3 linked regions of the Danio rerio genome follow. The protein of the gene in region 3 interacts with the protein of the main gene of each other region in a pairwise test. Links are inferred from orthologs where the notes say so. Each region holds a gene or a part of one and is shown on either strand. Other genes may lie near its edges.

Region 1 (3,721 bases), about 18 Mb from region 3:
TCACAATACAAATAATTAATTCACACTATGGAAATATAAACGGATCAAGTTATAAATTAAATGTCAACCAATTATTTAAAGAGGTAGCTTCAAAAAGGACTTTTATTTTAATAAAAAATATACAAATAAATTAATAAGTCTATAAATAAATCTAAATTAATATCTTAGATTAATAAATTTTTTTTGATCCTACAAATTCCCTTAAAGTAAAACCATGTTGATTTATGAAATAATATAAAATATTAGAGATTAATAATGGGAGTCTCTGCTTCTGTTTAATGGTCTTAAAAGTATTGGAAATCAGATATCTTTTCCTTTAGAAACACAACAGTAAGCGGTATTTGTGATAACATTTATTCACAGATATCTCTCAACTAGTTCATGATGATTTGAGGCTCGAGTTGTCGGGTCGGATTAGAAAGGTTAAAGCTGTCTGATGCTACAGGAAGCTGAGCTCGAGGCTGAACAGCTCATGGTTTGGGGGATTTGGGGTGTAGTAATGCAGTTTGAGTGACATGTTTAAGAAATAGTTTGACATAAAAAGATTATCTGTGTGAGCGGTTGGAAAAACCCTGTAAAAGTAAATGGATTCAGAATAAAAACACCTTGATAATGAAGATACACTGCGATAACAAACGCCAATGCTACACAATTCATAAACACTAACATTTACATTTAGTATTAGAACTACTAGTTTTTTACTTTGATTTAAAACATTTATTATGACAGCTCGTCACTCATAATGAATCAAGCAATCCATTATGTTGACAATAAATACAAAATAATGGAGAAATCATCTTTGGCGCGGGGTCTCGGTGGGCGTGGCCACGATGCGTCAGGCAGCGTCGCTGTTTTCTCAGAAATAAACCGTCAATCGCGCTCCTCATTCGACCTCAAACACCGAACACGCACAGTAAATGCGCTTTATACATAAAGACATCCTTAACGAAGACCCCCTGAACACTGTACGCATGTTAATCTACTCTTCTGAAGCATTATTGAAATGAACGGCGCGTTATGCGTGTGCAGTTTGTCGACGCTTCCTCAGCCTGTGAGGCGGAAGTGTGACGTGTGTTTAAGCGGTTGGTGCTCAGTTCCACCGCTCCTGTTCAGCTGTGTTCGGTTCACCGGGATGAGCTGCTGTCTGTAGCGGTCGGTGATGCTGCGGCGGGTTCGGGCTGAGCTCCGGCAGGCGGTGAATCAGATGGCGAGAAGACCCGTAAAGATACTGTGCTGCGGTGCCGTACTGCTGACCTGCGCGCTCCTGCTGCCCATAACACTCACCTGCGGGTAAATACACTGATGAATATCAATATTATATCATATACTGCTGATCATAACACACACCTGCGGGTAAATACACTGATGAATATCAATATTATATCATATACTGCTGATCATAACACTCACCTGCTGGTAAATACACTGATGAATATCAATATTATATCATATATTACTGCCCATAACACTCACCTGCTGGTAAATACACTGATGAATATCAATATTATATCATATACTGCTGATCATAACACTCACCTGCTGGTAAATACACTGATGAATATCAATATTATATCATATATTACTGCCCATAACACTCACCTGCGGGTAAATACACTGATGAATATCAATATTATATCATATATTACTGCCCATAACACTCACCTGCGGGTAAATACACTGATGAATATCAATATTATATCATATACTGCTGATCATAACACTCACCTGCTGGTAAATACACTGATGAATATCAATATTATATCATATATTACTGCCCATAACACTCACCTGCGGGTAAATACACTGATGAATATCAATATTATATCATATACTGCTGATCATAACACACACCTGCGGGTAAATACACTGATGAATATCAATATTATATCATATATTACTGCCCATAACACTCACCTGCGGGTAAATACACTGATGAATATCAATATTATATCATATACTGCTGATCATAACACATGATGTAGATGTGAGTCTCAGCATTGATTTCTATAATGTAGATTCTCCAAAACAATGTCTAAATTCTCTCGTGTCTGACATGCCTCGCCCCCTTCTTCTCATTGGCTGTTCGTTTGATGCACTTGTGCTTAACCACTCCCACTGGCCGAGCTATGAGAAAAACTACACGCTATTGGCTGTTTTGTAAGAGGGAGGGGCTTCTTTATGCCCTGCCCCCTCTTCATGTTTCAGTTGAGATTGTCAAACATCAAATGAAAATGCAGATTCCAGAGCTCTCCAGCGGAGCTGTACCTGTCAGTGTGATTATAGTGTACAGTGTGTGTTTGTGCTGTCAGTCGTGTGAAGAGTGTAGTGTCTCCGGCCCGTCCGCCGATGCGGTTCTTCCCCGCGGAGGCACCAGTGCTGGATCTGTTCCTGGGTCAGCTGGAGGAAGCGGATCGGCTGCGGGAGGAAGCGGATGTGTCGGTGCTCTTCTTCTACGCCCCCTGGTGTGCTCACTCCATCACAGCACGGCAACACGTCCAGCAGGTGGCGCTGCGTCTGGCCGACCAGGTGAGTGTGTGCTCTGTTTACATGATTTACACTGACGAGCGTTATGTATATAAAACCAGTTTTAAAATAAAACAATAATAAAATGAAAGGAAAAATAGAAAGAGTTGGACAGATCTATACTCAACTTTCAGATCTATACTCAATATTTAGATCTATACTCAACATCAGATGCATACTCATCATCCAGATCTATACTCAATATTTAGATCTATACTCATTATCCAGATCTATACTCAACAATCAGATCTATACTCATTATCCAGATCTATACTCAATATTCAGATCTATACTCAACTTTCAGATCTATACTCAATATTCAGATCTATACTCATCATCCAGATCTATACTCAACATCAGATCCATACTCATCATCCAGATCTATACTCAATATTTAGATCTATACTCAACATTCAGATCTATACTCAACATTCAGATCTATACTCAACATTCAGATCTATACTCATCATCCAGATCTATACTTATCATCCAGATCCATACTCATCATCCAGATCTATACTCATCATCCAGATCTATACTCAATATTTAGATCTATACTCACTATCCAGATCTATACTCAACATTCAGATCTATACTCAACATCCAGATCTATACTCAACATCCAGATCTATACTCAACATTCAGATCTATACTCAACAATCAGATCTATACTCAACATCCAGATCTATACTCATCATCCAGATCTATACTCATCATCCAGATCTATACTCAATATCCAGATCTATACTCAACATTCAGATCTATACTCATCATCCAGATCTATACTCATCATCCAGATCTATACTCAATATCCAGATCTATACTCAACATTCAGATCTATACTCATCATCCAGATCTATACTCAACAATCAGATCTATACTCAACATTCAGATCTATACTCAACATTCAGATCTATACTCAACATTCAGATCTATACTCAACATTCAGATCTATACTCAACATTCAGATCTATACTCAACATTCACATCTATACTCAATATACAGATATATACTCATAATTCAGATCTATTGATCATCGTATATGATGATGACGATGATGATGATGCGTGTCCTGGCAGGTGCAGTTCCTGGCTGTGAACTGCTGGTGGCATCAGGGCCGCTGCAGGAAGCAGAAGAGCTTCTTCCAGTATCCCGTCATTCATCTGTACTACAGGAGGTACAACACACACACACACA
Region 2 (2,208 bases), on a different chromosome or scaffold from region 3:
TATAATATTTTGAATTTTTATAATTTTTCTTTAATTCATGAGAAAGACTTGGTTCGATCAAGTCGGTCGAAACGTTGTGTGAGTGATATTAAAGACTTTTGAGAGCTAAAGTGGCAGTGTGCCGATTTTCTTTTGGTCTTTTGCTACAAAGACTTGGTTTGAACCAATCAGCGTGCTCTATTGTGAACGAGATGCAACTTCATTATTATTGCATATATTGCTTCGGAGACTGTATTTACCAGTTGTAGTGTTCAGAGAAACACCATATTGTGTTGTCAACCATAATTAAAACAAGAAGTAGAATAATTGTTCGCAGACACGGGTCATAAGTGTTGCATTTATAAATGTGCCGCAACAAAGGTTTTGTTTCCATTTCCCCACGATGAGTGCACAGCTCACGTATGGACCTTACAATGGTCTGCTCACATACAACAAAAATAAGTTTGTAAGGAACATTTTTTATCCAAGAGCTTGTCGCATCTGGAATTGGTGAAATCTGGATTTCCACTAGTCTTCTTAAAAAAAAAAAAAAAAGACACTGTTCCAGTTTGTGTTGATTGTCCTGTCTCTACGGATTTGGTAAGTGTGTGATCAAAGTTCTTTGTCTATGTTTCTCCATATTTCCAAGTTAGTTAGTATCGTCAGCAGACAGTACTCTTTCAGATTTTAAAGACATACCTTAGTCAAACTGATTTGGCTTTTTAGTTTACAGTAATATCACTACAATATTATGGATTGAAAATCCTCCACTTTCTCACAGCTGTAGAGATCCGCTGTAAATGCTGCTTTCTGAATCACTGTCTATCTTCCCTGTGTCTGTGTTGCTGATTTGAAAATCAGTTGAACGTAAAGTGTGCATATTGAATCTCCCCTTTTTATGCAAACCTTTCTCTTTCACCACTCGCCACTCCCAGTCAGAGAGGGGTTCATGGCCCCTTAATCAAAAAATACACTCACTCAAAAATAGATATGACTAGAAACCAAAAATCTAGAATTTTCCTTCTTAACTACTAATTTGAAAAGTCAAAATTGACCATATTTTTAGATTTAAATTATGATAAACATGTTCCATGGAAACCAGTTTGATATTTTTCTTTAAACCCTATATAATTTGTAAGTGGGTTATAATTTTCGTTTTAACATCGTCTTTGGACAAAACAAAAAGTCATTGGAGCCTAAAACAACAGTAGCTCCCCTTTAATTTAAATTGATATATTTTACAAATTGTGTGCTTAAAAAGTCATCATCTAAAAAAATCTTCTGAGAAGCACACACAATTTCACCCTTGGTGAGACACAAACGTCTGGTAGATTTCAGAGTTGGAGAGCGAAAAGCGAGACCTGGAGAGGCTGGTGAACGAGCAAAAAGCTAAATGTGATGCAATCGAGAGACGGGAAGCAGAGCGGAGGGACATTGAGGAAAAAAAGCATGCGGAAGAAGTTCAGTTCCTCAAACGAACCAATCAACAACTCAAGGTAAAAAAAAAAAAATAGACTTCTTCAAAGATCACCATTACTTTTCCATACTCTTACGCTTTCATTTGTTTATTTAGGCACAACTGGAGAGCATAATCACCCTGAAGAATAAATCCTAAATATTATTAGAACAATAATACTTCAACTCAAACAAATTCAACAAATAAAAGATTTATACGCTCTGAGAATGTGTTGCTTTTTCACCAGACAATAATGGCACTCAAGTACATGATCCACATTTCAACATTGCTGAATCTGGACGTTGACTTAAGTTAAAAGCTTTTGAAAATGCACAATGCTGAAGAGAATTAGCTGTCAGAGTGCAGTCGTAATGTTTAGGATGATGGTTAGCATCACAGTATGATTAAAGTGCATCACAGATCTGCCAAACCTGCACCTTTACACAAATCACTGTGATTTGACTCCAGATCTTCCGAATCAGCCGCCAACGGGACTCTGGAAAACGGGATGGATGGGACTGGGTATCTGATGATGTGCTCTTATCGCTTGGCTCGATTGGCTTTCTTGCCATCTGAGGGAATTTTTCTGTTCTTATTCTTGTTCTTGACGTTGTGTGTCTCATAATAGCGGACTCCCACTTTCTTCACTTTCTGGGCACGCTCAATTCTCCTTTTCTGTTGGGGTGAAGTTTAACAGAGAGAGAGTCACGTTTGGTCTGTTTTTTTTTTTTTTTTACTGTTTTTTTACTTAAGATATTTGGATGAACTTGTGG
Region 3 (3,668 bases):
ATACAGCTTAGTGACATTTAAAGGTTTAATTAGGTTAATTAGGTTAACTAGGCAGGTTAAGGTAATTAGGCAAATTATTGTACAACGATGGTTTGTTCTGTAGATTATCGTGAAAAAATATCGCTTTAAGGGGCTAATAGTTTAGTCCCTAAAATGGTGTTTACAAAAATTAAAACTGCTTTTATTCTAGCTGAAATAAAACAAATAAGACTTTCTCCAGAAGAAAAAATATTATCAGACATACTGTGAAAATGACCTTGCTCTGTTCAACATCATTTGAAAAAAACAATGTTTAAAAAAGAAGAAAACAGTTTGAAGGGGGCTAATTATTCTGACTTCAACTGTATAAACTACAAACAAATCTAGATAAATAATGAAAAAGCCAGTAACATTTCTTTTAGTTTTATTTCTTCTTGAAATTCTTGATTACGTCCTGAATACACATAGAGAAGATAGATCCAGTTTATGGTGATCTTGATGGGTTTGTTTTTATTAGTCTTAGTCTTTTTGGCATAACTGTCCATGCAGCCCTGCCACATCCTTGTTTTTCAAGTAGCATTTCCTTTTTCTGCCGCAGCTTGTATCTTGTAGCTGTCAGTTTTTGATTGAGGGTAATTGGGGTGATTGTAACAGATGTACTAGATGTACTAGACCAGGGACGAGGGTTGCAAATTAGCTTTATGCTATATTCCCTATGTACACAACATCGGTTGACTTTGTAAAACAATGTCAAGTGTATTGTCTCTGTTAAATAAACAAGCAAAAAAAAAAATGAACAGAGGAAAAGACCACAAACAGATGAATATTCTTTCCCTATTTTCTCCAATTATATTCTGGATCTCTGGGCCTAGAAAAATAGCTGATTTTAAATTGCTAAACATACTGTAATGTATTTATTTTGACTCACTGTTCATTTCGAAGCTGTGACCAATAATTTTAGCCTTCTAGTGTTGTTAGCTATGTATTTAATTACACTGATTTGTTATCAGGACGTCTCCAGAGTTCCAGAAACTTCTTGGAATTGCCATGGAAATGTTCTTGCTGTGCAGCGATGACAAAGAGTCTGACGTCAGGATGGTGGCCGATGAGTGCCTCAACAAAATCATCAAAGTAACTCATTTGTAGTTTACATATCTGACATATATTCAATTGGATGATGATTGTAGTGGTGTTTTTTTTTTGTTTTGTTCAATGGTAATATAATTTCTTTGTTTATCTTTGCAGGCATTGATGGATTCCAACTTGCCTAGACTACAACTTGAACTGTATAAAGAGATTAAAAAGGTAAATCAGACTCAATAAACTTTTTGTAATGAATGTTTAATTTATTAGGAGTTCTTTTGTAAATGCATGTCAGTGTACTGAACTGGAGTTCTAGGATTACGTTGTGTGGCTGATTTATATTTAAGTTACATTTTTGTTGCACTTTTGTTGTTAATTTGCGATTTATCTGCAACAATATTTGATTATTTGATTGGTTTGATTATTGTTTTTGTTTTTAGTAAAATTTTTTGGGGGAAATGCTATAAACTTCACAGGCACATGAGTCTTGTGCTCTTTAAGTAAATGTACAGCTCACTAATGGATCACTTTACTGTGTGTGTGGTAACAGAACGCTGCCTCTCGGAGTCTGCGGGCAGCCCTGTGGAGGTTTGCAGAGCTTGCTCACCTGGTGCGTCCACAGAAATGCAGGTATGCTCAACTTTTGGTCACTTACTTCTAGTAGACTGGTCAGGACCCAATTATTGTGGAACATTGTGGGAACAATCATAGGACTAGCTCAAAACAAAGGAATGTAGTTTACTGCAAACGTGGAATTTGCCAAATTAAAGATAAATAAATTGAAAGTAGGGCTTCACTCTTAAATTGCAGTCTTGACTAGTGCTTGTTACTTTTAAATTTACTATGATCTTCTATGTGAAACTGCTTTGACACAATTTACATTGTGAAAGCGCTATACAAACAAAGGTGAATTGAATTGAATTGCATTGAATTTAAACAATGAAAAGACTTTTTAAATTTGATGTTGCAGAACAGAGTTCATTCCATAAGTATTTCATATTTTAATTTGAGAACGCATGACGTATATAAACAGAAACTGTTATTTTCAGAGTGTCAAAATAAAGGTTTGGTTTGGAGGTATTTTGGTTTTGGACTATTGTTCTGTTGAACGCACCCATTCATTCAAAGTAATTACAACAAAAAATGTTCAGAGATTTTATAGACTTAAAGGGATAGGTCACCCAAAACTGATTATTCTGTCATCATTTACTCACTTTTTTCTTGTTCCAAACCTGTTTGAGTTTCTTTCACCTGACAAACACAAATTAAATTTTTTGAAGAATGCTAAAACCTGTAACCATTGACTTCCACAGTAAGTAAACTAAGTAAACTATTCCCTACTATTTTCATATTTTCTAGATAAAATATTATATTTTGTGTTCAATGAACACTTGAGGAACATTAGATAGGGAATATATGTTCATTTTTGGGTGAACTGTCTCTTTATGTGTATTTTGTTTAACACAAAAAAAAAGCTGCAATTTATTTTTTACTTTTTCCATTAAAATGGAAATAAACCAAATTTTGTACTAGTATATGAATTTAAATACATATTTAGATTAAAGTTGAATTCCATTTGTATGTAATATTGTGGTGTTTATTCTACATGATTTATCTATGCACTTGATTATGTTTTTAAATATTAATGTGTCTTTATAATGTCTACCTTTCATGTGCCATTGGTCTTGTTGTCTGTCTTTATCTTGGTCATAGCAGGTAAATAGTTTGGTTTAAATAAATTTTCCTTCAATTGAACTCTTAAATTTTTAGCAACATAGGGCTCAAATAAAAATAAATAATAAAATAAAGCATGTGAAGGTGCCAGAGGTAAGTCGCTTTAGAGTAAACTGAGTATATTCAAATCTGCCTCAATTCTGCTGTATTTCCATTGATCAAGTCAGTTCCTGAAGAACATCACTATAGCGAAGAAAAAATCATTGCAACTTCTGTTTCATGCTGATCTTAAGCTGTGACATGCTTTTGATTGTAAAGATAAGCAAACACAATAAATCCTAACCCTCATTGTCACCTTTCCCAGGCCGTACCTTGTGAACCTGCTACCATGTTTGACACGAATCACAAAACGTCAAGAAGAGACTGTGCAGGAAACTCTCTCTTCTTCAATTCCTAAAATCATGGCTGCCCTCGGACACTTTGCCAATGATGGAGAGATTAAGGTATGAGCTGAAAAAGTAGCATTTCCCAAGGTTATCATGTGTTTACTTTATTTTAAATTTGGTCAAAGTAAAACATTTCAGAAGACCACATCAGGCGATTTGCAATAAAATGTACCTTGATTCAAAAGTCATTAGTCATTCTGGATGGCCTTATGTATTTGACATGAAAATAAGATTGCCTTGCTACTGAATTCTGTGATTTGGCACCTGAGTGAGGGATTTCCCTCACCGTTATCTTGACTGTCTGATCTGAAGCCGTAAATGCGCAGTGGTGACATCATCTCCTCAATATGGAACATGACTCACTCAGGCTGGATTTAATTATCCATGAGCCTCTTCTCCCTCGCATCAAGAGACGGAAAGAGTCTGTATTCTTGCCAAGAACACATTCACTTTTTAAGACTAGAGTATTGTGATTCTAGATGATTT

Evidence for each region.
Region 1: the proteins of htt (region 3) and txndc11 interact in binary tests that used the Homo sapiens proteins (3 or more experiments, as listed by UniProt). The link is inferred for Danio rerio from reciprocal best matches to the Homo sapiens genes HTT and TXNDC11.
Region 2: the proteins of htt (region 3) and dnali1 interact in binary tests that used the Homo sapiens proteins (3 or more experiments, as listed by UniProt). The link is inferred for Danio rerio from reciprocal best matches to the Homo sapiens genes HTT and DNALI1.

The regions. Positions count from the first base shown.
Region 1 is NC_133176.1:62,612,933-62,616,653, reverse strand, and holds the start of txndc11 (thioredoxin domain-containing protein 11), read left to right. Parts: upstream 1-824; 5' UTR 825-1,159; coding exon 1,160-1,290; exon of another isoform or gene 1,291-1,536; intron 1,537-1,771; exon of another isoform or gene 1,772-1,806; coding exon of another isoform or gene 1,807-1,920; exon of another isoform or gene 1,921-1,963; intron 1,964-2,309; coding exon 2,310-2,526; intron 2,527-3,603; coding exon 3,604-3,701; intron 3,702-3,721. UniProt on the Homo sapiens protein: May act as a redox regulator involved in DUOX proteins folding. The interaction with DUOX1 and DUOX2 suggest that it belongs to a multiprotein complex constituting the thyroid H(2)O(2) generating system.
Region 2 is NC_133191.1:37,142,710-37,144,917, reverse strand, and holds the end of dnali1 (axonemal dynein light intermediate polypeptide 1), read left to right. Parts: intron 1-1,310; coding exon 1,311-1,475; intron 1,476-1,528; exon of another isoform or gene 1,529-1,552; coding exon 1,553-1,594; 3' UTR 1,595-1,660; downstream 1,661-2,208. UniProt on the Homo sapiens protein: Involved in sperm flagellum assembly.
Region 3 is NC_133176.1:44,454,598-44,458,265, reverse strand, and holds part of htt (huntingtin), read left to right. Parts: intron 1-989; coding exon 990-1,110; intron 1,111-1,224; coding exon 1,225-1,284; intron 1,285-1,612; coding exon 1,613-1,692; intron 1,693-3,100; coding exon 3,101-3,239; intron 3,240-3,668.